Coturnix japonica: one gene and its partners. The protein of the gene in region 6 interacts with the protein of the main gene of each other region in a pairwise test. Links are inferred from orthologs where the notes say so. Each region holds a gene or a part of one and is shown on either strand. Other genes may lie near its edges. The genes, in order: ETV6, KLHL12, ATXN1, CZH18orf25, TRIM54, UBE2I and RNF4.

The links.
Region 1: the proteins of UBE2I (region 6) and ETV6 interact in a two-hybrid assay, tested with the Homo sapiens proteins (2 studies listed by BioGRID and IntAct, with this or other methods). The link is inferred for Coturnix japonica from reciprocal best matches to the Homo sapiens genes UBE2I and ETV6.
Region 2: the proteins of UBE2I (region 6) and KLHL12 interact in a two-hybrid assay, tested with the Homo sapiens proteins (2 studies listed by BioGRID). The two-hybrid records come from large-scale screens. The link is inferred for Coturnix japonica from reciprocal best matches to the Homo sapiens genes UBE2I and KLHL12.
Region 3: the proteins of UBE2I (region 6) and ATXN1 interact in binary tests that used the Homo sapiens proteins (3 or more experiments, as listed by UniProt). The link is inferred for Coturnix japonica from reciprocal best matches to the Homo sapiens genes UBE2I and ATXN1.
Region 4: the proteins of UBE2I (region 6) and CZH18orf25 interact in a two-hybrid assay, tested with the Homo sapiens proteins (2 studies listed by BioGRID and IntAct). The two-hybrid records come from large-scale screens. The link is inferred for Coturnix japonica from reciprocal best matches to the Homo sapiens genes UBE2I and ARK2N.
Region 5: the proteins of UBE2I (region 6) and TRIM54 interact in a two-hybrid assay, tested with the Homo sapiens proteins (3 studies listed by BioGRID and IntAct). The link is inferred for Coturnix japonica from reciprocal best matches to the Homo sapiens genes UBE2I and TRIM54.
Region 7: the proteins of UBE2I (region 6) and RNF4 interact in a two-hybrid assay, tested with the Homo sapiens proteins (3 studies listed by BioGRID and IntAct). The link is inferred for Coturnix japonica from reciprocal best matches to the Homo sapiens genes UBE2I and RNF4.

What each region holds. Positions count from the first base shown.
Region 1 is NC_029516.1:65,808,950-65,812,449, reverse strand, and holds part of ETV6 (transcription factor ETV6), read right to left. Parts: intron 2,537-3,500; coding exon 2,372-2,536; intron 1-2,371. UniProt on the Homo sapiens protein: Transcriptional repressor; binds to the DNA sequence 5'-CCGGAAGT-3'. Plays a role in hematopoiesis and malignant transformation.
Region 2 is NC_029541.1:899,991-903,490, reverse strand, and holds part of KLHL12 (kelch-like protein 12), read right to left. Parts: intron 2,923-3,500; coding exon 2,705-2,922; intron 1,071-2,704; coding exon 921-1,070; intron 309-920; coding exon 194-308; intron 1-193. UniProt on the Homo sapiens protein: Substrate-specific adapter of a BCR (BTB-CUL3-RBX1) E3 ubiquitin ligase complex that acts as a negative regulator of Wnt signaling pathway and ER-Golgi transport.
Region 3 is NC_029517.1:67,238,775-67,242,940, reverse strand, and holds the start of ATXN1 (ataxin-1), read right to left. Parts: upstream 2,801-4,166; 5' UTR 2,461-2,800; intron 1,931-2,460; exon of another isoform or gene 1,687-1,930; intron 1,656-1,686; exon of another isoform or gene 1,184-1,655; intron 1-1,183. UniProt on the Homo sapiens protein: Chromatin-binding factor that repress Notch signaling in the absence of Notch intracellular domain by acting as a CBF1 corepressor. Binds to the HEY promoter and might assist, along with NCOR2, RBPJ-mediated repression. Binds RNA in vitro.
Region 4 is NC_029547.1:1,819,759-1,823,258, forward strand, and holds part of CZH18orf25 (uncharacterized protein C18orf25 homolog), read right to left. Parts: intron 1,358-3,500; coding exon 1,175-1,357; intron 1-1,174. UniProt on the Homo sapiens protein: AMPK substrate important for exercise capacity and skeletal muscle function.
Region 5 is NC_029518.1:95,417,684-95,421,811, reverse strand, and holds the start of TRIM54 (tripartite motif-containing protein 54), read left to right. Parts: upstream 1-1,328; 5' UTR 1,329-1,395; coding exon 1,396-1,563; intron 1,564-1,703; coding exon 1,704-1,876; intron 1,877-2,269; coding exon 2,270-2,441; intron 2,442-2,535; coding exon 2,536-2,631; intron 2,632-2,875; coding exon 2,876-3,109; intron 3,110-3,195; coding exon 3,196-3,218; intron 3,219-3,372; coding exon 3,373-3,497; intron 3,498-3,580; coding exon 3,581-3,673; intron 3,674-3,812; coding exon 3,813-3,851; intron 3,852-4,128. Other genes in the region: DNAJC5G (dnaJ homolog subfamily C member 5G), read left to right, coding at 298-442, 681-763. UniProt on the Homo sapiens protein: May bind and stabilize microtubules during myotubes formation.
Region 6 is NC_029529.1:7,286,290-7,289,507, reverse strand, and holds the end of UBE2I (SUMO-conjugating enzyme UBC9), read right to left. Parts: intron 2,953-3,218; coding exon 2,843-2,952; intron 2,636-2,842; coding exon 2,556-2,635; intron 1,162-2,555; coding exon 1,098-1,161; 3' UTR 501-1,097; downstream 1-500. UniProt on the Homo sapiens protein: Accepts the ubiquitin-like proteins SUMO1, SUMO2, SUMO3, SUMO4 and SUMO1P1/SUMO5 from the UBLE1A-UBLE1B E1 complex and catalyzes their covalent attachment to other proteins with the help of an E3 ligase such as RANBP2, CBX4 and ZNF451.
Region 7 is NC_029519.1:74,944,716-74,948,215, forward strand, and holds part of RNF4 (E3 ubiquitin-protein ligase RNF4), read right to left. Parts: 5' UTR 3,419-3,500; coding exon of another isoform or gene 3,416-3,418; 5' UTR 3,369-3,415; coding exon 3,360-3,368; intron 2,874-3,359; coding exon 2,753-2,873; intron 2,003-2,752; coding exon 1,923-2,002; intron 730-1,922; coding exon 720-729; intron 1-719. UniProt on the Homo sapiens protein: E3 ubiquitin-protein ligase which binds polysumoylated chains covalently attached to proteins and mediates 'Lys-6'-, 'Lys-11'-, 'Lys-48'- and 'Lys-63'-linked polyubiquitination of those substrates and their subsequent targeting to the proteasome for degradation.

The DNA of each region.
Region 1 (3,500 bases), on a different chromosome or scaffold from region 6:
AACAAGTTACAGCAGTAGTATCTGAAAAGGAACTTAACAGTTTCATCTGGGAAACCCTGGATTTTCCAGGAGAGTTTTCTCAAGTGTGTGTGGGGTTAACAGTTGCTCCTATGAGACTGAAAGCTGTGTGCCATTCAGCTGCTGTCTCTATAATGTTCTACTTGCAGTGAAGTTTATTGTCTTAGTATGAAACGGTTAAAGCTATCCTGCTTTCCACAGTTCAACTTCCTTTATTTTTAGCATCTCAGCTGCTTTCACTGTCTCAGTAGTGACTTCAGGGCATTTTAAAGAAGTGTCTGCAATACCTGAAAATCTAATTACAAACAAAGCCTCAAGAACTCAGTTACCTTTTCCATGTTGAGTACATGAAAGTCTTTTACCTCATAATTTGCATCTTTGAATGCAATAGTGGCATAACCATAACTAGTACTATAACACTCCAAGCAATAACTTTTCTTTTTTCACCTAACAAAGTATTTAAACTTCTGCATCACAAAGACACAGCTGTATTAGTTACAAGAACAAAAGTCTCCTCACTCTCTCTCTCCTCTGCTCTCTTCCCGAGCCAGTGCTAGATCAGAGTATAGCTGGTGGCTGTGTACCCATTTTATTGGTACAGTCACTGGGAGGAGAGGATGCTATTCTACTGGTTTAACCAGGAGTAGAAAGGATAGAGCCTTTATATATCAACACTCTATGAAAAACTTAAGCTCTATAGCAAATATTATTTTACAGTTCTTATGTTTCACGTGTATTTTATTACTGGGAAACACTGAGGTATATTTTACCTATAGTAATTTAGGCTGACTGAGCTATCCTCTAAAATGTTTATTATTGGTGAGGAATAATACCTGGAGAAAAAGAGGAGAGAAAGAGCTGGGACAGAGGCCATTCTAACCCAAGTTTAGGTAAACAAGAGTTTAACCTTCTGCACAGTGTGGATTTGCAAGCCAGAGGCTCTTCTCTGAGAACGCTCTATCTCCAGCCAACAAACATTTTAATCCTACTCATTTCAAGTGCCCTCACAGCACATAAAGGGAAGAGTAGAGAAATAACTGGTAGGCAGCAAGGCACTGGTATGATAAGGGGAATAACAAACAAGTTACATAGAGTTGTCCTTTACAGTCCTTGCCCACTTTCAGTACTTCTTTTGCCTTAAAACTGGGTTAATTTTTGCAATGAAATCGCTCAAAATGAGTACCAAAAAAACCCACCAAAGGATGTTTCCAGGCATCAGTTTTCACTACTGTATTATACTAGCAATAGACACAGATGTCTGGCAATTCCTTTTATAAAAATTATTCTTGGTTTAAAGTACATGCTTTGAAAAGTGTGTATAGAAGAAATATAAACCATAGTATGAGAGGCAGATTCTGCAGGAGGATGGTTGGGTGCATTCAAGGGAGTCACAAAGGAACTAGAAGCAGAATTAGTGCCATTCCTTTTTTATCAGCCTGAGCCAAACTGCACCAGCTGCGCTTCTGCACTGAGCGAATCTTATGCTGCAAGCCTGGTAACAGCAGTTCTGTAACCACTTGGTGCAAACTCTTTGATCATCTATAGTGATTGAGTAAATGTTTATATTTAACAGAGGTACCACGTATGGTCATAAAAAGAAAGCTCACAACTCTTATATAGAACCAATAACTCATATTTAGTTAAACATCTCTGACAAAGGAGGGCAGAGGCTTACTCTGACTGGGATACCATAGCAGAAAGACTGCAGGGGATCTAAGTACAGGAAGACCACATATGTATTTCTAAATCACTTGTGTGAATAAATGAAGACATAATTTGAACAACAGGCCAACTGATTCACACCTATCTGTGTTGTACTTTGGGCCAGCCTCCAGCACGTGAGAGAGTATGATAAAGTAAAGTAAAGCCCACAAGGGCTGTAAAATAGAGGAAAGGTCCCCCATGGATGAATTTTGCAGTCACTCTTAGAAGCATGTCAGCCAAGCCAGCTGTGAGACAGAATGCTAATGTCAGCTTCTTAAGAGGCTCGAGCACTTGATTAACTTGCTGCTGTTGTTGGGTCTGCAAAAAGATAAGTCTTTATGGGGAAGAGCTGGAAGCCATGAAATGCTGCCAAAGAAGCCCACTTTCTGTGGGTTCTGCAAAGAGTTTTAATGAGAGACAGGTTGCATTTTTGGGTGTGGAGTTGCACCCAAATTTACTTACAACTCAGGGGTAACTAGATTTCTCTTCCCTCTTGTCTTTTCTGTCTTTGTCTCATATAAGAGTTTCTGTCCCTTCTCTGCTCCACTGCCCAGCCCACCCTAACAAGCATGATTCTGTATCCTCTTTTGTCCCTCTTGTTGCAGTTTCTTCTCTTCTTTCAACTGTAGCTTCCATAAGAATTCCTCACCTGAATGAGGCGATCTGTATCGAAAGTCCTCTTTGGTCAGGAGCAACAGAGCCTTGCCATTCATTTCAAAGGTGTTGCTCTCAATCGGCCTCAGGGAAAACTCCTTCTCCGCCCACCTGAGCCACTGTGCGACATCCTCCCTGCTCCAGTAAATGGGCTGCAAACCTGTACCAGGAAAAGACCAAGACTGCGTTACAAAATTAGACAAGGTATGTGAATATAGGCAAATATCATAGAATCTCCATTTCTCCCCACACCGTAACATGCAAAGTCTCCAGGCAAGGTGTGGTAGAGAGATGTCAGGATCACACTAAGCATTGGGCTGTGCAACACTTCATTAGTTTAGGTATCTCAGTTTATTTTGGACATTCTGAAAAACAAGATGCCTCAACATCCCTTCTAGGATATTATTTCATTCCAGGCTTCCACTGTGGGATGGGGTTGACCCCCAGCTGCTCCTTCCAAGGCTCAGAGCAGGCAGGAGATGAAGCTGCTGGCCCCATCCATGCTCACTGTGCACCCTCTCACAGAAGCAGGGAATGCCCTCTCTACATGCCCCTTCCAGCCACCTTTACTTGGCCCTGGGAGGTGTGACAATTCAGTATCTGTTCTACAGATGAATTTAAAACAGCTTCCTTCCCCTGGAGAGAAGGCAGCATGGTGAAGAATTGTTTATACCTAGGTAGGCAGATTATCTCCAGTCTGCTGGGAGATAAAAGCTTTCTTTCCTTTTCCCCCTTGTGGGATGACTCATTGTTTGACTTGTTACAATGTGTTGTGTAGAAATGAAAGCTTCACGCTGGGCAGAGGAACGTGAAATTTGCCGTATCTGATGAGATCTCTGGTACACAGCCTCTGGCAGGAGCTAATACCTTATGCTTCAGAGGAAGACGAACCTCCCTTCCTCATCTTGCACCTGGCTGATTGTATGCCGCACATGGGAAGAAATTTCCTTCCTGGCACACCACTCTATGAGATCTGATTACCCTTGTCTTACCAAGTCAGAAAAGAAACCCAGGAGATTTGTACTGTTTTGTTTTGCTTTTTTTTTTCACTTCTGCACACAGGCAACCTTGTTTTCTGTTTCAGCAAGAGGTCACACGCAGTGAATTGCATTCTGCTGCCACAC
Region 2 (3,500 bases), on a different chromosome or scaffold from region 6:
AGGAGCAGGGCAACCAGCTACTCCCTGTGCTGCCACTCGTTAACAAGCCACCCTGTCCTGCACTGCTGTCCCCCTTCTATGCCACTGTGCACTGCAGATCAAGAAGTCTTTGTTGCAGAGCACCACAGCACTGCATGGCACACACAGCTCCTGCAGGTCCCACAGCTACTCCCGGCACCTCCACACCACTCACCCAGACGGGCTCTGGTCCTGGGTCCCTGCATCTGGCTCCGGAGCTCAGGACGGAGATGGAATTTCTTTGCTTCATCGACGAGGTCTCTGCACTGCAGACTGCATCGGATGAACGGCTGCAGAAAGACAGCAGTCACTGATACCAGTGGTCTGTGCTAAGATCCCCCCAGAGATGCCATGGGACTGTTCTCATACAGCTCATCTCTCGTGGCACTGCAGATTACAGGATAAAATACCCTACACTGGAAAACTGAGGAAAATAGGATTCTGCTACATGTTAGCCAGTGGAAACCCAATTGAGGAGGGAGCAAAGGCTGAGTGGGCCTGGCTGGGTCTGCCCCACAGCGTCAGCTCAATATGTGACTGCCAGAGACACAGCATGGAGCAAAGCCCAAACTGCGCTGCTCTGTATGGAACACCCTGCTATGGGCGGAACTCAGAACAGGGAAGTCTCCTCCAGAAGCAGCTGTGGGCACAGCAGCCCTAAGCATTGCCTCATGTCCTCCTTGTTCCCCAGCTGGGCCTGGGCCAACCCCCCGCTGCAGCTCCACATCCAGTTCCCTGTGGGTGTTCAATACCATGTGCTGCTGCACCACACCAAGGCCGAATTCACAGTGCCCTGCTGCCAAACCTTGCACTGGATCAGCATTGATTGTTTGAAATTAAAACTTCCATTGCAAAAGCTTAAAGATCTCATCATCCACATCTTGGTTTGCTTCTACCCATACCTCGGTGTCGATAACGTCTGTGATGTAGCGCGGGGTGAGGAGCGGCATTCGCACATACTGCAGCAGCTCCGGCAGCGACGCCTCCCGGTCCTTCTTTGAGTGCTTCACCCAGTTTATAACAGCCTCAAATACAGGTTCTTCTGAGTCCACCTGCAGGAAGAGGGACACACTGCTCAGACAGGAGAGCAGCAGCCTGTGGCTAAACGGACAGCTCTGTGCCCAGCAGCAGCTGGAGAGCACAGATGGGAGTCTGCTGTGGGTGAGAAACCAGGCAGCAGCATCACAGCCAGGGCTGCACTGACAGGAGCCCAGCAGGCAGTGTGGGAGCAGGTTCTGCCCCTCTGCCCCGCTCTTTGGGCTCCTTGAGCATGAGGACATGGAGGGCCCAGAGCCCACAGTGACACTCAGAGGACAAAGCACCTCCTGCAGGGATGGGCTGAGGGGCTGTGCTCCTTCCACGTGGGGAAGGGCAACCTCACAGCAGCCTTTCAATAATTAAAGAGAGCTCATCAAAAAAGATGAGGAGAGACCTTTTTATTGGGCCTGCAGGTGATAGTTTTAAATTAAAAGAGAGCGGGTTTAGATTAGGTGTAATTGCAGTGAAATTCTTCACCACAAGAGAGGTGAGGCAGCAAAACACACAGTCTGGAGGAGCAGGGGATGCTCCATCCCCATCAGTGCTGCTGGGCAGGTGGTGTAGGAGGTGGAAGGGATTGGGGGACGATCCCTTCCAACACAAAGCATTCCCAGCCCTGGGATCCCTGGCTGCCCAGAAGCTCTCACCACAACCCACCCAGATCAAACCTCAGCACTAAGGACACTGCTGTGATCACCCAGCGCCCTCAGCCCTCCCCTGCTCTGAGCACCACCTGCATGCAGCCCTCACTGCCGCCCTGCGTGCTCCTTTCCAAGGTTTGTTAATGACATCAGCTTGGCCAAAGGCCACTTCTGCTGCAGCCTTTCAAAGCACACATCCACATCTCTCCTCTGGTCACCCCTTCGAGGGGCTCTGAGGAACTCAGGAGGTACCAATGACACAACCTGCTCCAAGGAGCTCACACTGCTGTGAGCTCTGAGTAACGACTCCATCACTTCTTTTAGGGCTGAAGCAAACACCATCTCTTGTTGAAGTCCAGCTTAACAACACAGAACTGCCCCCTTCCTATTCTCAGGCAATATTCACCTTATTTCAGTTCCCAACTAAATACACACTCAGAGAAAACTTGGGTAAAAAACCAAACAGGATCAGACGGTTCCCAGCCATGCAGTAACACCTCCAGAATCCAGCTCTGAGTGAACACAGTCCGTACCAAAATTCAGAGGCAGAAACACCTTCATGTAACCGCCTGAAGCAGTGTCTAGCAGCCCCGCTCTGCACCCTGTGCAAGCAGAAGGGCTGCATGCTGGGAACGACACATGCACTGCTCGTGCTGCTGAGTAACACCACAACGGTCTGCAAACAAGTTAAAGTCCTGTGGGCGTTTCTGCAACGTGGGCACCGAGACAACGCATGGCTGCAACCTCCTCCGGGGAGAGGGGGAGGAGAGGGAACATGGAGGTAGTGATGTGCAGCCCCGAGACAACACGCTCAGACACACAGCCTGCACATCACCCATTGGTTTGAGGTTATGGGGCCAAAGGAATGAGGAGAACCTTCCTGGAAAGCGAACTCCCAGCTGGGGAAGGATGGGTGAGTCCCTCCTGAGCACTACGGGCTGGTTTCCAACAGCTTTCAATGCTTTACGTCCAATGCTTTGCAGAGTAATGGTACGTTCAGGTTTTACCTGAATTTCATCACACTTGATGAGCTTTTCAACCTCTTCTTGATTTAAGAGGATAAACTCTTCATGCTGAACCACCTCTGGAAAATGTTTCTGGCTGAAGACCTCTGCAGCTTGCATTAGATCAACACAATTGTGTGTCTCAGCAAAATCCCGAATGCCCAAACAATTTGATGGATCCAGCTGGCTTTCTAGAAACTCACAGCAAGCTTGTTTCACACCTATGGAAAATCGGAGGGGTGAATGAGCACTGAACACATCCTGTCAGCCCTCTGCTCGGGAAAGGGCTTCAGTACAGGGAAGTTGGAAACAATAAGGACAGACTGACTGAACAGCAGTGGAATAACACCACTCAAGCACACACATGCAATGTCTCTTCCGAGGGGCACAGTAATGCTGAGCAGCAGGACGGCTGCTTGTGCTGTTTGTGCCTGCTGTGTTTAACCCCCTCCTCCCCCAGGTTAAATCTGACACTGGTAACTGTGAGCTGCACTGACTTTGCAGCTCCTAAAGCAGAAGTGGATGTGCCATGGGATTGCCCAGCTGTGAGCAGCCACGCTAACCTGGCAATGCCAAACGACACCAGGGCTTTGCTTATTACTGTCAGCTCCCCCCCCCCAGGCACTGCCACGCAGACATGAAGTAGCACAAAGCACGGATAAAAGAATCCATCCCGTGTCTCTTTTTCTAGATGGGGCAGCTCTGCTACACCAAGATCAGCGTGCAAAGGACAAGAGGAGTTTGACACAAGGTGTTATGGCTCCAAGGCCCAGACTGAGCACAGCACAGAGGCACTGCT
Region 3 (4,166 bases), on a different chromosome or scaffold from region 6:
TTTGCTCTGAGACCAATACTTTCGCATCCTAATGTTTCAATCAGTTGCTTTTCAGGTGAGCGCATCTAACGTCTATTTTCTTAATTAAGATGAAACTAGGCCACTGGATCTATTACATAAAAATGTTCGTTAAGTGCAATTCCAGGCCTCTTGTAAATGTCTCTTACAATAAAAGACCGGTTCCTTCAGCCTCTCCGAGTAAATCACAGCAGGGCAGGGAGAAGAGATGCGGTGAGAAGTTGCCGGCACCGTGCACTGCCCAGGGGCTGCCGGGGAGCTCCGGTGCTCCTGATCTAGTAAATGTGTATGTTTGGTGGCCCTGCCAGGCAGGGGGTTGGAACTACATGATCCTTGAGGTCCCTTCCAACCCGGGTCATTCTGTGATGCTGTGATTGTGTGTGTGCTTCACGGTGCCGGCAGCTTCTCACCGCCGAGATGCGAAGTGCTCCGGGCTGCGCTCCGTAGCAGCGTGGACGCACGTGGCTAACGCGGCACCTCCAGGGGGCAAAAAAAATCCCACGTTGCTTTTTGCCGTGGTAAGATATTGGGAAAACGATGGCTGCAGGCAGCGGATCAGCGCCTGAGCTCTGCTACTCTGCTCTGCGCCTGGCCGGAGTCCAACGAGCGGAGCTACCCCAGATATACACACGGTGTGCGCGGCTCTCAAGCAGCCCCTGGAGCCGCTCCAGGCCCGCGGCATTACGACTCAGCGCCACATTCGGTGCCTGCACGAAGCGACGCCTGCGCCCGTGTGCGGGCAACGAGGGGAAGGGCCGGCATGAGCTGCTCCGGGAGGGCAGGAGCCGCACTGCCCGCTCCAACACGGCAACACGCCGTACGGGGCGGAAAGTTTCGCTCTCTGCTGTATGTTAACGAGCACAAACGCAAAGTGGTATCAATCGGAATATCAGCAACGAGCCGCGTGGCGATGTTTATACGATATGCCCCCTCGGGTTTGTTCACCGAGGGCAAAGGAAGCCGGCTGCCCCTCAGCGCACAGCTCCTTGCTCACGTTCCCAGCGGTACCAACAATTCCCGGCCCTACGGAGCCGGGCTGGGTGCGAGGAGCAGCGGCAAAGTTTCCGTGCTCCCGCAGCGCCCTGACGGAGCCGCTGTGCGGTGCCTCCCCCCGTCCCTGTCCCCGCACCCCGCACGGAGGCGGCGGGGCTCACGGCGCGCACACCTGAGCGGCCGGGGCTGTCTGTTGCCATAGCAGCGCTCTCTCATCGTTCGGCGGAGCGGGGCCGGGCGGTCTCCGAAGGGCTGCGTGAAGGGCCCGGGCCCGCACCGCCGCGGAAGGGCTCGAAACCGAAATTAAAAGCCCTCATTGCGCCGCCGCACGCACGGACGGACGGACAAACAGCCCGCGGCGCCCGGCACCGAGCGGGATGTCCCCCCACACGGCTCGGCCCGGCGCTGCGCTCCGTGCGGTCAGCGGCGCCCAACCAGCCGCCGCTCCCCGCATTATATAACGGCTTCCGACTTGTTTGCTCCTCCGTCAGTGCCGCTCGGTAATTCCTCCTCTGCGCTCCCCGCTCCGTCGCGTTCTTATCGCTATTACAGCGGGCGCTGACGTTTCGCAGCGCGTTTAATTGAGACTTCGATACCCCCAGGAATCGCGCTCGCGGATCGCGGCGTCCGCGTCCCTACCGGGGTGGGGGTGGGGTAATAGCGAACGACACCGACCCGACCCCGAGCTCCGGCCGGGGTTAAAGTGGCGCTGCCCCGCGGCCCTCCCGCCCGCGCTCCCCCGGCGGCGGTACCGGGCGTTGTCCGCAGGCGGCCTGGGCCCCGACAGCAGCGGCGCGGGGCGGCCGCCGGCCACATCCCCGTCCCAGCGCCGCCTCCTCCGCCGCCCGCTCGCTTCATTCACCCTCAGCGGCCGCCCAGCCCCTACTACATGCGCCGTGCGGCCCGGCCGCGGCCCCCCCCCTCCTCTCTCCCACACACACACACACACACACACACACACGGAGGGGCCGTGTCACCACCCCGTCACGCACCGCACCGCCACACACACACACACACACACACACACATCTACACATACACACCCGGCTACAAACACACACCCCGAGGCCGCCGCTCGCAAAATGTCCACCCTGCCGGCGGGGTGAGGGAGAAGGAAGGAGGAGGAGGAGGAGCGGGAGGGCCGTGCGAGCCCCGGCCCCGGGCCCAGGCCGCTGCCCTCGGCCATGTCGCGGCCCCCGCCCGGGCCGGGCCCTGAGGCCGGGCCGCAGCGCTGCCCCCCCGCACACACATATACACACACACACACACATATACACACACACACATACACACATATACACGCACAGAGCCGCCCCCAGCCCCGTGTTTTTCCAGCCGGGAACCGCGGGCGGCTCCGCAGCCCAAACAAGGGGAGAAGCCGGGGGAGGAGGAGGAGGAGCGGGGGGGGTGGAGGGGCAGAAAGCAGAGGAGGAAGAAAAAGGCACTTACTGTAAAGTGTCAGTGGAGGTGGGGCTGGCGGGGGGGGTCGGACTGAGACTCGAGCACCGCCGTCCTCCCGGGGTGGGGGTCTGCGGGTGTGTATGTGTGTGTGTGTGTGTATATGTGTGCGTGTGTATGTGTGTGTAAGTGAGGGCTCCTTCCCCCGCGGGGACACGCTCCGGGCTGCTCCGGCGCTGTAGTAGAAATGATGTCTGCAGTACAGCGCTCGCTGCCGCTCCGCTCTCCAGTATGTAAATGTGTAATAGAAGCCAAATATGGAGCAGTTGGCTGCCTCTGCAACAGCTCAAGGATCCTACTTCACGCGAAAGGGGGGGGCGGGGGGGAGGAGGAGGAGGAGGAGGAGGCAAGGCAGCACTCTGGCGGGCGGCCAAGAGAGCCACACAGATTATTGCATACGCTCAGCACCGCCGGGGCCGCCGGCCTTAACCCTTTGGAGGCCGCCCGGGGCCGAGCCGCCCTCCTCCTCCTCCCCCCTTTTTACCCCCCCAGCCCGGCCGTTCCTCGCCCCGACGCCCGCTGTGCTGAGGGACGCACCGGCGGGCACCGGGAGGGACGCGCTGCCCAGCGGGGGGAGCAGAGCGGGGCCAGGATGCGGGAGCGGCGGCCTCGGCCGGGCTGTCGCTAAGGGAGGAAATAAACCCGAGCCAGGGACGGCTCGGAGGCAGCGCCGTGAGAGTCAGGGGAGGGTGATTTTATTTAAGATGCCATATTGCGTTTTGCCGTTCAAAGCGTCGTAGCGCAGGAGCCCGCATCCCACTCCCGTTTTCTGAATTAGTTTTATTTTTCCGGATCCTTGGCGTATGCTCGAGTTGCTTTGTAGAGAGTACCTTCCACTTCATTCAGACCAAAGAGGCTCTGACTCATTCCGTCGCCGCACTACGAGGCGGGCAGGGCTGCACCACGCATGTTTGGGTACTCGCTCCCGCTGCGCTCCTCGTACGCGCTCCGGCACAATCCTCGCTCGTCTCTCCCGGCTGCGCGCAGACCACTGCCCGCCTCTCCCCGAATAAATGAATGGGAGGAACACAGGCACGGGACGGCGTCTGCTCTGCTTGCTGGCAACCCGACTGCCGCGCAGGGAACCGCTCGCTCTGCTTTGGCATCAGGAAGGCACGCACGGCGCCGGGAAAGCCTCTCCCCATCCCAAAGTCACCACACGAAATGCTGCATAAACCCCCAAGGCTGGGTCTCAGCTCCAGAAGGGCTCCGAGAGCAGCACGTGCGCTCCCTGTGCCGTGGCTGCCCAGAGCGGGCTGTTGTTTGAGCCTCTTCCAATCCCCCCCCCCCAGCACAGCTGTGAGCTCCGAGCAGATGTCTGTAGTGCCGATGTGTCACGTGTGTGTCCACAGGTAGTACCGCTGTGTTTCAGCATTGGATCTAGCGTTAGTCTGGATGCAAAAGACCCTAGGGCTCTGTCAGTATGCAGATCAGCAAAGCAGTCCCTTCTATGAATGACTGTACTCGTCCTCTATATTTCCTAGAGAATGTGCTAACAACATGGTAATCTGCACAGCTCATGACTGAGAGTTGGTACTGTCTTATAGACCGGCTTTATGAGCACAAGCATATTTTAACAGTGCAACTTCTACCTCTCCAGATCAGGTTTGCTACATAACCCAAAGTGAATGCCTGTTTCAGAGCACTCTGGGGACAGCAGCAGGCCCGGATGTCTGGATGCCCGTGCCACTCAGCAA
Region 4 (3,500 bases), on a different chromosome or scaffold from region 6:
AAATCTTCACTTTTTATTTCCTTACATTCCTTTCTTTCTGATGAAGTACCAAACAGTCGGTGCTATGTATTAGGCTTCAATAAGAATGCAGCAAAGGTAACACAGCAGAGGTCCTTTGTATTCCAGAAGAGAACCTCTCCACTAGGTGATAATGGAACACCTCTTTCAAAATGTGCTACGCATTTGTATTTGCTTAAGCTTTATGGATGCTGAAAAGCAGCTCAGAGCTACACAGAGGCGTGCAGTATAGCCTGTGTTTAAAACACAGAGTGAAACACAAAGCTCTGCTCCACCATGAGCAAGCCTCCATGCCCTAGCATTAAGTGAAAACCTTAACGGTGTACCAAAAATGAATGGCAAGGAAGGCATTATGTTATAAGGCATTCGGGGCAATGGGGTGAAGTCAACAGAAAACACCCCCACGAGTGCTCTGCTTACACAGCTCTCACCCAGACCTTGGAGCACCTCATCTTACTGCATAGCTCCTGTGTGCCAAGTGGATCTGAGCAACATTATGAGGTCCAGGAGCTTCTTTACAGCCTTCCACTCTATTCCTGCTCTCGCCTTCTTGTAGGAGGATTCAGCCCACTGATGTGAAGCCCAATTACGAGCAGCACCTCTGCATCCTTTGTATTTATCTGAAACTGGAATGTCCAATTTTCTGGAGTATGTTAAAAATGCAGATGGCATGAGGGAAAAAAAATGAATGCTTGCATTTTGCAGAGTGAAAAAGACAAGAGAGACCCCAAAAAAGATATATAAAGACAATTACAATAATTAAAATGAGATGATGATTGGTTTACTAGCTGGCAGCTATCTGGGTCATCATAATCAACTATTCAGTAGTGAGAGTAGCTCACTTTCATTAGGGAGCAGGAAAACACTCCCACGACCACCAGAACAAGAAAACAAACAAACAGAACAAACCAGACTTAACTAATTAGAGGGGGAAAAGAAAATTATTAAGAAACCCAGTGTCAGAAACTCTGTCAGTCTTTATCGGTTGTTGGTTGGAGTAAATGTCAGGCACTTTCAATAAGCACCTATACTGTTTTATTGCATGGGTAAGGTGCTTTTAAAGCTGTATAGATCACAAAAACATTGAAAGGATGGGAGGTGGACACACTGAGTGAGAAGCAGGAATGAACACCAGAGGAAGGGAGCTCAAACCAACCTGCATCAGCACCCATCTCATCCAGCAGCTCCCTGTTTCCCCAGGCAGATCCCAGGTCTTGGTTTCCCAAGGAATTATTGTGCTCTTGCACCACAGCAGCCGCCAACAGATTGTCCACGTTTACCACTTCAGGGTCTGAGTTTGTGTCTGATATATCATAATGAGCTACAACAGGAGGTCCATCTGCAAAGGGAGAGAAAGGCAGCTGCTGTCAGACATCAGCATACAGTAAAAGGCACCTTTAGAAGTACAAATAAGTTAAAAATTAAAGCAATCCCCTAACGAGGCTCTTAAAGAAATGTAATCAGTATCAATTTCTGAACTTCAGATAATGAACAGCCTGATTACAGAGACATTTTAACCTTTGCATATAGACAGAAAACACAAAGATGAGGCAGTGGTATCTGTATTATCTTTTACATTAGCACATAAACATCTCCGTATCTGACAGCGTCACATTTACAATCCCAAAAGGAGAGAACCTTCATTTTAAAATAAACGCTGTATTACAGGCCATCAAATTTGTCAAACCATCTGATTAAGGAATTTTACAAGTAATCTCAATCTACGGCTTACGTTATTGTAGGGCTGTCTGAATAAAACTAACTTTCTAATAGGAGTGATCCAATTGCAATAACACTAATTTAACACTTCCTTACAAAGCATCAACCCACCAGGGACAGGGGAATTTTTCTCCAGTGTTTTGGGCTTTGTCTTCCAAAATGAAGGCTAGCAAGAAGCAGATCTATGGTGTGCAGTGATAAATATGCTTTCTCCTAACTACCATATGTGCTTTTGGCTGCCAAATAGAAGGGGAGGAGAGAGAGAAAGGGAACTGCTTGCATGATTAGTGGAAGCCATAAGGGTGATTTGTATAAAAGCAGTGTATCTTATAACTGCTTTCAATAGACGTTAATGGTAGTTATAAATAACGTTTTCTTCTTGAATTTCTTAAGTCCCTAATATTTGAATAATAAACGATAGCAACTGAATAAGCATTAACAAAAATGAACTGATCTTTTATATGGTATCTTTGCTGTGTAATTTTATTACGATGGCACAAATGGTGATCAAGTGAATCTGAGTTCCTGGGCAAACCTCATGCTCTTACAGGGGCAGACAAGGACATTTATGCAAGTATTTGCACACAGCATAGTGGGGATGTGGAGTTAGTCTGGCTGGCCTCAATATGTGTATTCAAGTTCCTTGTGTTGTCAGTGCCTAGGAGCTGCAAATAGCCTTGGGCTTGTGAGAGGAGAACACCCCTATGGAGGTGCTCAAGGGCAGGCTGGATGTCTTTGTGGGCAATCTGATCTAGTGGCTGGCAACCAGCCCATGGCAGGAGACTGGAGCTCAATCATCTCTGAGGTCCCCTCCAACCTAAGCCATTCTATGATCCTGAAGTCAATTACTGAGGGGTAACAAAAAGGTGAGTTTGGTCCCTTTTATTACAGTGGTGTATTTTCTTTTTGAGTCTTGAAAATCCCCCATCACTGGAATGCAGACTAGAAAAGGAAGAGGCTCAGGAAAAAAAAAAGTCGAATTCAAGATAAATGAAGGAGCAAAGAGAGACTGGATGAATATCCTAATGCTGAAAGGATGCACTTAATTCAGACACTTTGCCTCAGCTAATTACTACAGTTTATCAATTGAGAGTGGGTGACAGCGGCTGGAGTTCTTGTTCCTCAAATGGCAGAATGAAAACTTTGTTTGGGCTCAGCCTTCAGCCATAGAAATCAGCATGAAATGCAGAAATGTTCTGGGCCAAAGCACTGCACTTAGCGCAGCTCCACAGGAGCGCTGGCAGTTGCATGCCTGGGGGGAACTCTTCATTATTACATGATACGCACACAGTGTCACCCCAATGGGACACTAAATATGTGCTGAGCAGGACAGGACCTTCAGCCCTCCTCTGGACCCTCCCCAGCAGCTCTCTTTCCTTTACTGGGGGCTCCAGACCTGGACTCAGGGAGGGACAATCACCTCCCTGTCCCTGCTGGCCACCCCTCTTCTGATGGAGCCCAGGATACCATTTGCTTTCCAAGCAGTAAGAGCACACTGCTGGCTCATGTTCAGTTTTTCATCTCTCAGGACCCCCAGGTCCTTCTCTGCAGGGCTCCTCTCAAGGACTGCTCCTTCTAGTCTGTATATATGCCTGGGATTCCTCCAGCCCAAGTGCACTTTGCTGTGTTGAAAGGGAAGACTGGTCTGATTTAGAAGGAGCAAATGTCTACTGCTGAATACAGAAAGAATGCAACGAACTGTAAGATTCAAATCTAGGTATCTGAAGAGCTGTTTCTAGTAAGGCTTTCCTAAGTAACTTCTT
Region 5 (4,128 bases), on a different chromosome or scaffold from region 6:
GGCTCCAGGCATCCTACAGTGGCCCTGGGATTCTCATGGCAGCAGGACACTGAGGTCTCTATGTGGCCCCAAAGGTCTCAAGGCAGCCCTGGGGTCTCACAATGTCTGGGTCTGGGGTCTCAGGTGGCCCTGGGGTCTGATAGTGGCCCAGGGGATCTCCATGGCAGCTGGGCCCTGTGGTCTCAGAGCAGCCCCATGGGTCTCATGGCAATCCCAAGCTCTTAGGGCATATTGGGGGTCTCGGGGAAGCCTCGGGGGTCTCTGGGAAGCCTCAGGCTGTGACATCCCATCCCGCAGGCCCTGGCGCTGTGCTGTGGTTTGCTGACCTGCTGCTGCTGTTTTTGCTGCTGCTTCTTCTGCTGCGGGAAGTGCTGCCCACCCCGCGAGGACGAGTCCTATAAGTACGTCGACCCCAAGGACCTGGAGGCGGACGATGGTGGCGGTGAGTTGGGGTCCAAAATGGTGACCCCCCCCACGATGCTCCCGGCTCACAGAGACCTGCAGGGGGGGCTGCACCGGGCTCGGGGGCTGGTGGGACACGTGGGTTGGGGGCTCTCTCGGTTTCCTTAACAGAGGAACAGAGACATGAGGGCCGTGCTGGTGCCAGGGGCAGCCCCGGATCGCTGCCAGGACCCCAGGACTCCCTCCTGGTTCCACTGACCCACACATTTTCTTTCCAGACCCACAGGTCCCGGTGGAAGCGCAGCCCCCCGCAAGCAACGCCCAGCCCCTGCCTGCTGCCGGAGCCAGGAGCGAGGCATAGGGCCACCTATGTGCCGGAGGGGGGTGGGGGGTAAAGCCTCCTCCGGGACCACCGCCGCTTCCCAAGACCCCATCGTGGGGTGGGGAGGGGGGTGTACAATCTCAGGTGAAACCGTCCTACAGCGCTGTGACTGAGACCGGTAGCACTGTAACCCCGGGGCCGGACCCCCCTGACGGGAGCTGGGTGCCAAACGCTGCTCTGGGGCTGGTATGGGGGGGGAGGAGGAGGGGTCGGAGAGGGGCCTCCCGTCGCGCCCCACTCTGCCTCGCCGTGGGGCCGCACCGCGCTCGTTATGGGGCTGGGACCCTTCAGGCACTTTCCGTGGGTTTGTATATGTTATATGGGCACCATTAAAGGATGATGGGGGGGAGCTCGGCGGTGTCGCTCTCTCGTCTCGGAGCGGCGGCTGTGGAGCCGGGCTGGGGGGGGGCAGCGCCGTGCCGCTCCCGGGGGGCGTCGGGACGGAGTGACCCCGGCGGTGGGACGGCCGCCCGCCGTGACTCAGTGTCACCCGACGCCGCCGACAGCTGCGCGGCCCCGACGGGGCGGGGGCGGCTAAAATTAGCGCTGCGGGGCCGGAGCGGGGCAGTGAGGGGCCGGAGCGGTACCGGAGAGGTACCGGGACCGCGGCGATGAACTTCGCCGTGGGGCTGAAGCCGCTGCTGGCGGAAGCGCGAAGCATGGAGAGCCTGGAGAAGCAGCTACTGTGCCCCATCTGCCTGGAGATGTTCAGCAAGCCTGTGGTCATCCTGCCCTGCCAGCATAACCTCTGCCGCAAGTGTGCCAACGACATCTTCCAGGTGCGGGGCGCAGGGACCGGGCTGTGCCCGGGGTTGGGGGCTCCGTACACGGGAGGAGGGGGGATCTCTGTCTCGGAGCGGTTCGCTAACCCCTCCTTCCCCCCCTGCCCTGCTCTCTCCTTTCCCCCCTGCCCCCCCAGGCCTCCAACCCGCTGTGGCAGTCCCGGGGTTCCGGCGCGGGGCCGTCCGGGGGCCGGTTCCGCTGCCCTACGTGTCGCCATGAGGTCCTGCTGGACCGGCACGGTGTGTACGGGCTGCAGAGGAACCTGCTGGTGGAGAACATCATCGACATCTACAAGCAGGAGTCGGCGCGGTGCGGGGCGGGACACGCGTGGGAGGGAGCCCGTGGGGATGGGGGGGGGGTGATTGGGGCTAAAGGGGCTCAAGGGCACCGTGGGGTGAGGTGGGGCGGGGGATGCCGTGGCTTGTGTGGTATGGAGGGCTGTGCAGGGGACACGAGGGGGAATGAGCCTGGGTGGGGGGGTATTGGGGCTAAACTTGTGGGGCTGGGGGTGCAGTGAGGCGGGGGATGCTACGGGGCAGAGGTGTGCCGTGCCGTGGGGCCGTGCCGTGGGGCCGTGCCGTGTGCCGTGCCGTGGGGCCGTGCCGTGGGGCCGTGCCGTGGGGCCGTGCCGTGGGGCCGTGCCGTGGGGCCGTGCCGTGGGGCCGTGCCGTGGGGCGCAGCGCCCTCTCCCTCCCGTCGCAGCCCCCTGCACGCCAAGGCGGAGCAGCAGCTGATGTGCAAGGATCATGAGGATGAGAGGATCAACATCTACTGCGTCACCTGCGAGGTCCCCACCTGCTCCATGTGCAAGGTCTTCGGTGCTCACAAGGACTGCGAAGTCGCCCCTCTGCAGAGCATCTTCCAGGGCCAGAAGGTGGGTGACCCCCAGAGCCGGGGGGGGGGTCAATGGAGCGGGCGCGGTGGGAGGGGTTTCCCGGTGCGACCCCCGACGCCGCTCCGCCCCCCAGAGCGAGCTGAACAACTGCATTTCCATGCTAGTAGCGGGGAACGACCGCATCCAGACCATCATTTCCCAGCTGGAAGATTCCTGCCGCAGCACTGAGGTGGGGCTGCCCTGTGTGTGCCTTCCCCCCCACACCCCCCCCCCAGGCCCCGCGTGTGGGGTCTGCGTGGTTCGGGACCCCCACCCGGTGTATTGTGCCCACATGGTGGGATGCTCCTGGGAGGGAAATCCCCACTGCAGCCATGGAACGCGGGTGTCCCCAGGGCACAGTGACACAGGGGTGTCCTGTGGGGCCGGGCTGGGAGCGTGGCAGCCCCCTGAGCCCCCGGGGGGGGATCCTACAGGAGAACGGCCGGCGGCAGAAGCAGCACGTGGGGCTGCGCTTCGACTCGCTCTGCAGCATCCTGGAGGAGCGCAAGAAGGAGCTGCTGCAGAGCATCGCCCGCGAGCAGGAGGGGAAGGTGCAGCGCGTGCGCGGCCTCATCCGACAGTACGGGGACCACCTGGAGGCCTCCTCCAAGCTGGTGGAGACGGCCATCCAGGCCATGGAGGAACCTCAGATGGCCGTGTACCTGCAGGTGCCTGGGGGGGGCTGTGTGCGGGGCGCCCTGCGGCTTGGTGCGCTGCTCCTGGGATGCTGACGGCACTCTGCTTTCCCCCACAGCACTCCAAGGAGCTCCTGAAGAAGTGAGTGGGGTAGGGTGAGATGGGATGGGATGGGATGGGATGGGATGGGATGGGATGGGATGGGATGGGATGGGATGGGATGGGGAGGGGGATGAGATGAGGATGGCATGGGGGGGTGGGTGGGCAGGGCTGATGCTGCTTGCTGTACCCCCAGGATCACAGACATGTCCAAGGTGTCGATGAGCAGCCGCCCTGAGCCCGGCTATGAGAGCATGGACCACTTCTCCATCAATGTGGACCATGTGGCTGAGATGCTGCGCACCATCGACTTCCAGCCAGGTGCCAGCATGGGGCGGGCGCTGCCTTGGGGAGGGGACTGCAGCAGGGATGTCCTCACACTGAGATGTGCCTCTGCCCCACAGAAGCGCTGGGTGAGGATGATGGAGATGGACCCACAGACAGCAGTGAAGGTGCAGGGGATGAGGAGAGCCTGGAGGCACCTGAGGCTGCTGAAGGTGAGAGTGTGTTGTGCTGTGCCGTGCTATGCTGTGCCGCAGTCACCACGGTGCTGCCGTGGCTGCGGCGTGGCCATGTACGGTGCATGGTCTCACCATGTGTCCCTCTCTCCACCTGTCCAATGCTTTTTCTCTACAGATGTGGGGCCAAGGCAGAAGCCATTGAGCTCTCCCCATGGTGAGATGCTCTGTGGGGATGAGCAGGGTGTAGGGATGGGATGGGGATGGGATAGAGATGGAGTGGCAGGGGATGGGATGAGGATGGGTGGGGATGGGGTGAGGATGAATGGGGATGAGGATGGGTGGGGAGGGGGGGAGTGAGGATGGGGATATGACAGGGATGGGATGGGGATGGGGTAGCAGGAGATGGGGTGAGGATGAGTGGGGAGGGAGGAAGTGAGGATGGGGATAGGATAGGGATGGGGTGGCAGGGGATGGGGTGAGGATGAGGAGAG
Region 6 (3,218 bases):
GAGCCCCTGAGGAGCTGTTACTAATTGTATTCTTCTTCCTTTACCTTTTAAGTAGATACTCTCAAGTTTCAAGCACCCAATTGGTTTCAAATTTCAAATAAACCTCTCCACAAACCCTTCAACAGCACTGGATAGGAAGACAACCCATAATGTTACTTAGTACATATAATGCCCAGATCCTGTAGGCCCCCTCATCTTCAGAGCATTTCTATTATTGTTCATTCATGCTTGTATCATTCCATATTCCAGTGATCAGACCAGTCTGTAATATACAATAAGCAATTGATCCCTAGTTAGTCATACAACTCTATAAGGTGCTTAAGGAACTGGTCAACTATAGAATAGCTGCCAGTAATCAGCACAGAGACAGACCACCTCTACATCAGGGACAGGGAAAATAAAGGAGGCAGCAGCTGAGAAGTAAAGCATCACAACTTTTAACCGAGTTGTGTTCAGAGCTGCTTAAACAGCGGCCTTTTAATGAAGAGGATGAAACAAAGCCCTTTATATAAACAGTTTATTTACTCTAAACAGCAACACAGACAATGCCATATAAACACAAAGGAAGTGATGCAGAATAAGGATGCTGGCTGACTTTGGATCTCAGAGGCTCTTAAGCAATAACAACCTAGTTTCTGAAAGATAGAAAAACAAATTCAGGGAGGGAAGGGGGTGGAGGGCATGATTTTTATTTTTCCATACAGCCAGCTAAAGGCTAAATATAGTTCTAACATTTTAAAGCATGCCTGCATCAGATAGCAAAGTAACTAGAGATACTAGTGAATTTATAGAAGTATAAAAGTTTATAATTTTACAGCAGTTGAAATACTGACATCAATATTAAAATAAAAGCAAGTTTTACATAACAATCAAAAATACAAAAGACTGAAGGAAGAGACCCTGTATGAAAAAACTGGGGGCAATTCAGCAAATTTAGAACTGTATACAAGTGGCGAATATGGAAAATGGCACACATACAACCCCCTCCCCTAAGTGGATATTAATTGTACATAGCAACATTAGATTTTGCAAAAGTTTTGTAAACAAGTTCTTGCCAAACCAATCCCTTCCTTTTTAAGATGCTGCATGACAGATGCTTATGATGGTGCAAACTTCTTGGCTTGTGCTCGAACCCTCTTTTCATATTCCACTCTGTTTTGGCTGAATAGAAGAACAAGAAAGGGCAATTAAAGCTTGAGAAATAAGGCCGAATTGCAAAATTCCCTCCTGTTTCTAGCTGTTAATTCTCCCAACTCAGAGCACCCGAATAAAGGAACACCTTCCATAGCAAACTGCACAACTACAGGAGAGGAGGAGGTACACAGCACACCTGAAGTACTGCAGAAAAACAGTACAAAGGCAACCCCAAAAATGAGAACAAGTCCAAGATCCGTGAGTCAGTATCAATTAGTACCAACCAGTCACTGAGGTACAAATTAACAACCTGCCTTCACAGCCTCTGCAGTTATGCAGGAACAAGACCAGCAGAGATGGTTTTTGCATAAACACATGAGGGGAAGTATAAAATGGGTCATGGGCTATGTACGCTTTCAGAGAATTATTCTATTCCTGCTCCATATTTCCATAGACTATTTTTTTTCTTATCCAAGAGGAGAAAAGAAGGTGGGTCTGCCTTGTCATTCCTCGCTCCCTAAGGCACTGCCTACAACCATCCTCCATTTGAACACACTCATCCAGTCTTCAGAGATACTTAAAGAATACCCTTGAGTAAGGTCTATAAATAGGATACACACCATCCATCCCTATGATTCCTTCTCTCTGTGGTCCTGTATGACATTTCTGACATGACTTTTTATGAGACTCTGCATACAAGCTATTTTTCTACCTTGGGACTCTCCTGAAGACTTGTTCTTCAGTCTAATTTTGCATTTCTGTTTCAGTCGTTATTTCAGTAGCTGTCAGTGCCAAAAGCATTTGTTTACAGAGTGTACTGCTTCCTTAAGAATTATGGGTCAGTAATCTATTTTTAATGATAGGAATATTTTAAGATTGAGCCTAAAAAACGGTGGGGTTTTTGGTTTGAATTTTAACTCCCCTAAAGCTCCAGGCCTCCTATACACTTAAAAACAGTTTTGAACACCAGTTTTCAAAGCTCATAAAATCCTTCTAACAACCACAGCTCTTCAACCTTCAGGCACAAGCACTTATAGGTGCACATTGCTGGACAGAACTAAATTACCCCTGTATTTACCAATGGAACTTGTCAACTAATCCACTCTCTTCCTTCTCACTTTCACTGTTCTTATGAAATCATTATGCTTTGGAATCTGTACTGGTCTGAGACCAAGATGAGAATCATGGTCCAACTGAACGCATCTTCATGTTTTCTGTTGTCACACTGTTAAAAGTTCCATTAGCCTATAAATGCTGGAGGTATTACTTAGCTTGAGTTCAGCATAAGCTGGGCATCTCAACAGGACATAGCCATGAAGGCAGAAAAGCTCCCTTGATCCTTCCCCCAAACATTTGCATGTACCATCGACAACAGACAGCTGTAGGCAACATGCAGCTCTCATGGTGATCCACACACTTACCAGTAAATTGTGTACGCCTCTGCTTGAGCTGGATCTTGAATATTTGGTTCATTTAGAAGTTCTTGTATTCCTAACAAGATCTGTGGATGAAGGTACAGAAGCAACAGAAGCACGGATATTACTAAGTGATGAAGAAACATGCAACAAAAGGAAAAAAAAAATAAATCACTACATTCACACCAAAAATCCCAACCGTAGAAACATGTAATGAGCATTTTACATTCATGTAAGACACACTGGCAAAGCGAGAAAGAAGCATAATTATATGCATAGGTACAACTAATGACCTGTTTAATTGTGATTGCTGGCCTCCAGTCCTTATCCTCCTCTAAGATGGAGAGACACACTGTGCCTGAAGGATACACGTTTGGGTGGAATAATGGTGGTTCAAATTTACCTGAGGGAAAAAAAAGAGTTACTGGCATGCGAAGCCAAGGCTAATATGTAACAGATTGTTTAGAACATCAGTGTAGGACAAACAAACCAGCCAGAGACACACATACACACAAATTCTCTGCACATCTGTCCCCCATCCAACTTCCCCCACTCACCAAACAGGAGATTTCCACAGCTATTGTTAAAGAGCTGCACTTTGGCTTGTGGCCTGTACCAAAAGCAGGAAACCTGCCATGTCTGTGTTACCACCCCAGGCAATTCCACAGC
Region 7 (3,500 bases), on a different chromosome or scaffold from region 6:
CCTACGCTTTTGGCATTCGTCGCTCTCCCTTCCCCATCCCCTCAGCTGTCTATCATTTCCAATAAACTGGTCGGATCAACATTTGAATGCTCTTCTTCTTAATCTCACGCTGGGCATAACATATCAAAAGAACCTTTGCCTCACTCCTAAATTGGAGCGAGACAACAGCTTATTAACACACCTCGGGTATTGTAATCAGAATAAGGTCTGAAAGGTGCAAAGGATTAGTTTTGTTATACCTTGTCTACAATTAGACCTGAGGCAGAAAACACCCAACTTGTTAGCACTGATCAGTGCTACATTTGAGGAGTGTCAGACTACATAATGAAAGCAGCACGACCTTTGATATCTTTCTACCTCATTTCCTTCAGTGCAACACAGGTTAATAAGGCCTTTGAACAAGGTCTTACTCAAAGCAGATATTCCACTGCTACAAAGGCTAACCCAAGTGACTGATGACTTCATGCTTATGGAACTTCTGCACTGGAGAAGAAAAATGTATTCTAAGAACATCCAGTGGCTTTTATTTCAGATACTTCACATCAGCTTTCACAGAGACTCTGAAATATAGATTGAATCCATTCCCTGAGGTGCTGGCCAGGTACTACAGCACTGCTCTCTGTCTTTCCATGAAAGCAGTTTCAACCCATGCTGCTTATGTTTGTTGGGAAAGGAAAAGTTCAGGACAATTCCTTGATGCTTGTAAAATGGAAACTCACCTTCAACGATCTTCAACGATGAACCAACACATACAGCATGGGAGGGAAAAGAAAAATAAAGTTAAACTGTAGCATGCACTGAAGTTTTATGTACAAGCACCCGAATAGCTATGAAACCAACAACAAGGCAAAGTAAGAATTTTAGGATACCACAATGTCATCTTGATTAACAAAATGTTAAAATAGTTTCAGAGAAGTGACTCGTTTATTAAGCGATTACTTTGGGTTTTGCTGCTAAGGGAAGGAAATGGAGGCAGCTTAGGAGCCATCTTAATCTCCTCTCTGCTCCCCAGTTTCAGTACCCCAACTTGATTGAGGCTGAAAAACAGAAAACCAACCCGCTGTTACATTCAGCGGAACCAAAGCCAGGGCAACGCAAACCATGCTATAAGGATTGCAGCATTCCCCTTGTACTGGCTCAGCAACAAACTGTTATTCCCGCTGCTTGTTTTTGGCTCTACAAGGCAGCAGTGGCATCCCCAAACCAGCGTTATTAACTACACTGCAGACTGGATCAAATACTGCTCAAGCTTTAATAACAACAGTAACAAAAAAGTGAATTTTCAAAGACTTGCTATAAGTTTAACTAGCTCCTAGTTGCTCAGGCAACTTGTAGATGCCTGAACACTTCCTATTTGTCATGCTGAAGACTTACTGCTACTTCTTTGATTTTCTGTTTAAATCATCAGCCTTTTTCTTTGAAATATTCAACACACCTTCAGCTTTAAATGGCATTTACTTACATGACCCATGATGGGTAATATAACCCCAAGACTGGGAGCAACAAGCTACAACAGACTGTGCTCATCACCTGCAGGTGGTAGTCACAGATGCAGATACATTAATAGGTCTATCTGGGATTGGATGTGAGCTGTGAAATGCTAAATAAGAGCCACACTTTAACCCTTTAACATAGGCTACCTACTGAGATGCCAGAAGACAAACTAAGAAGCCTTTCTTCTGAAAATCTAAGGCTCTGGTAAGCTATGACCCGAGGCCCAGTGTTGTACAGAGTAAATTTACTTCTGCAGGGAGTGTATCCATTTGCTTGTATTGCACAGATCTCTTAATGTAGGTCAATACACATTTCAAAGGAATGCATGTACTGAAAAGCCAACTTTCAGCTCATCCTTAGACTCTATCAGCAGCAAGAACACAGAACTCATTTGACTACAGCATTTAGATAAGCATGTCACTACTTACCACAACAGAATCATTGTGAGTTAGATCAACTACTACAGGATCAGAAGATTCACACGTGAGATCTACTACTTCTTCACCAGCTTAAAAACATAATGTTAGAACACAAATCAGAGCTCACAGGAGTAAAGTTACCCATCAGTGTATAACAGTGTATAACAGGCTGAGGTATCATACAACACTGCCCATCCCTCTTCTCTTTGGTAACATACTCAACTTTTCATTCAAGCTTTGCTGTCAGCGGTCTATATATACAGTATTAACAGCTTCTGCAAGTTGCAGTGCACAACTAACTGACCTCATGTGCTTTCTGATATATCAGTATCTTGTGAGAGGTGCACAGCAACACATTCATCTAATATAGGAGAACGTTTATCACGCTTTAAAACATGAATCAAACAGGATATTTCTTTTCCAGTCCTGCGCTGTAAGTGTTCCAGTATCACATCTCATCTAACTTTCAAAAGCCAAATACATAGCAAAACCACAAGAAGCCATTTATTTACTTGCAAGTTTCCAAATTTAGTTTGCTGTTATCTGAAGTGGCAGCTGCAGTAACCCCGAGTGCATCGGACCAGATAACTGGATGTGCGAGCAACACACATGCACCTTTCTTACCTAATTCACCTATTAGCAATTGCACCCCAGTAACAATCTTAAACAGCTGTCGGTAGGCTTGCTGCTGTTCACTGCTTCCATACTATGTCCTTTGTTAAATAAGTAGCTTTCCACTCCCCTTCAAAGGACCTTGAAACTGGCCAAAACCACATTATGTGGATTCCCAGCACTCCAGGAGAAGCCTGTTTTCTTATATAGTTCAAAAGAAAGCTTACCACTTTCTTCCAGTTCTATTGGCTCTCCTTCTGAAGCCATCTCTGTGGTAGAAGCTATCAGTCTGCTTCGTTTCTGAGCTTGCCTAGAGTTAGCTGATCCTCCACGGCGCTTTCTTGGAGTCTAAGAGAGAAGAAAGCCTTAGTACGTTCTTTAGGAGTAATACTAATGCAGCCCCCACCTTTCCAACATCAAGGTAAACAAAACACACCGCTAGAAGCCTGTAGCATAAATATAACAGCGGTAAATGACTCCTATCTGAACTGATCTCATCAAGGAGCAGACTCCATGCCAGGTCTCCCACCAGCTGAATCACAAAAGAAAAAGCCACACTACATTCTGAAGGTCTACATGGGAAGATGAGCTCACAATGACACCAGGTATTAACTTCCAGCCAATCAATGCCATCAGTTTTCACTCATGCTCTGAGTTATTTCTGAAACGCTGCTATAGCACCTACAGATGAGAAACTTCTGAGTATCACAGAACATGAAGTTAAATGGCAAATTAGTGCTGCAGCGTATTTACAGTAAACTGTTACCAAGATTTATATAAATATGATAAATATATTTTAAGAATCACTTTTGCATTGATCAGTAAAATACTTACTGTACTCATGGTGTTTCTTGATACAGAGTTACAGAAAAAATAAGAGGTATAAATACCATAAAATTAAACGCAAGGAAGCTACAATTCTCAATTCCTTATATTTCTTTAGGCAGTACACTGTTAAAAAGTCCAGATTTCTCA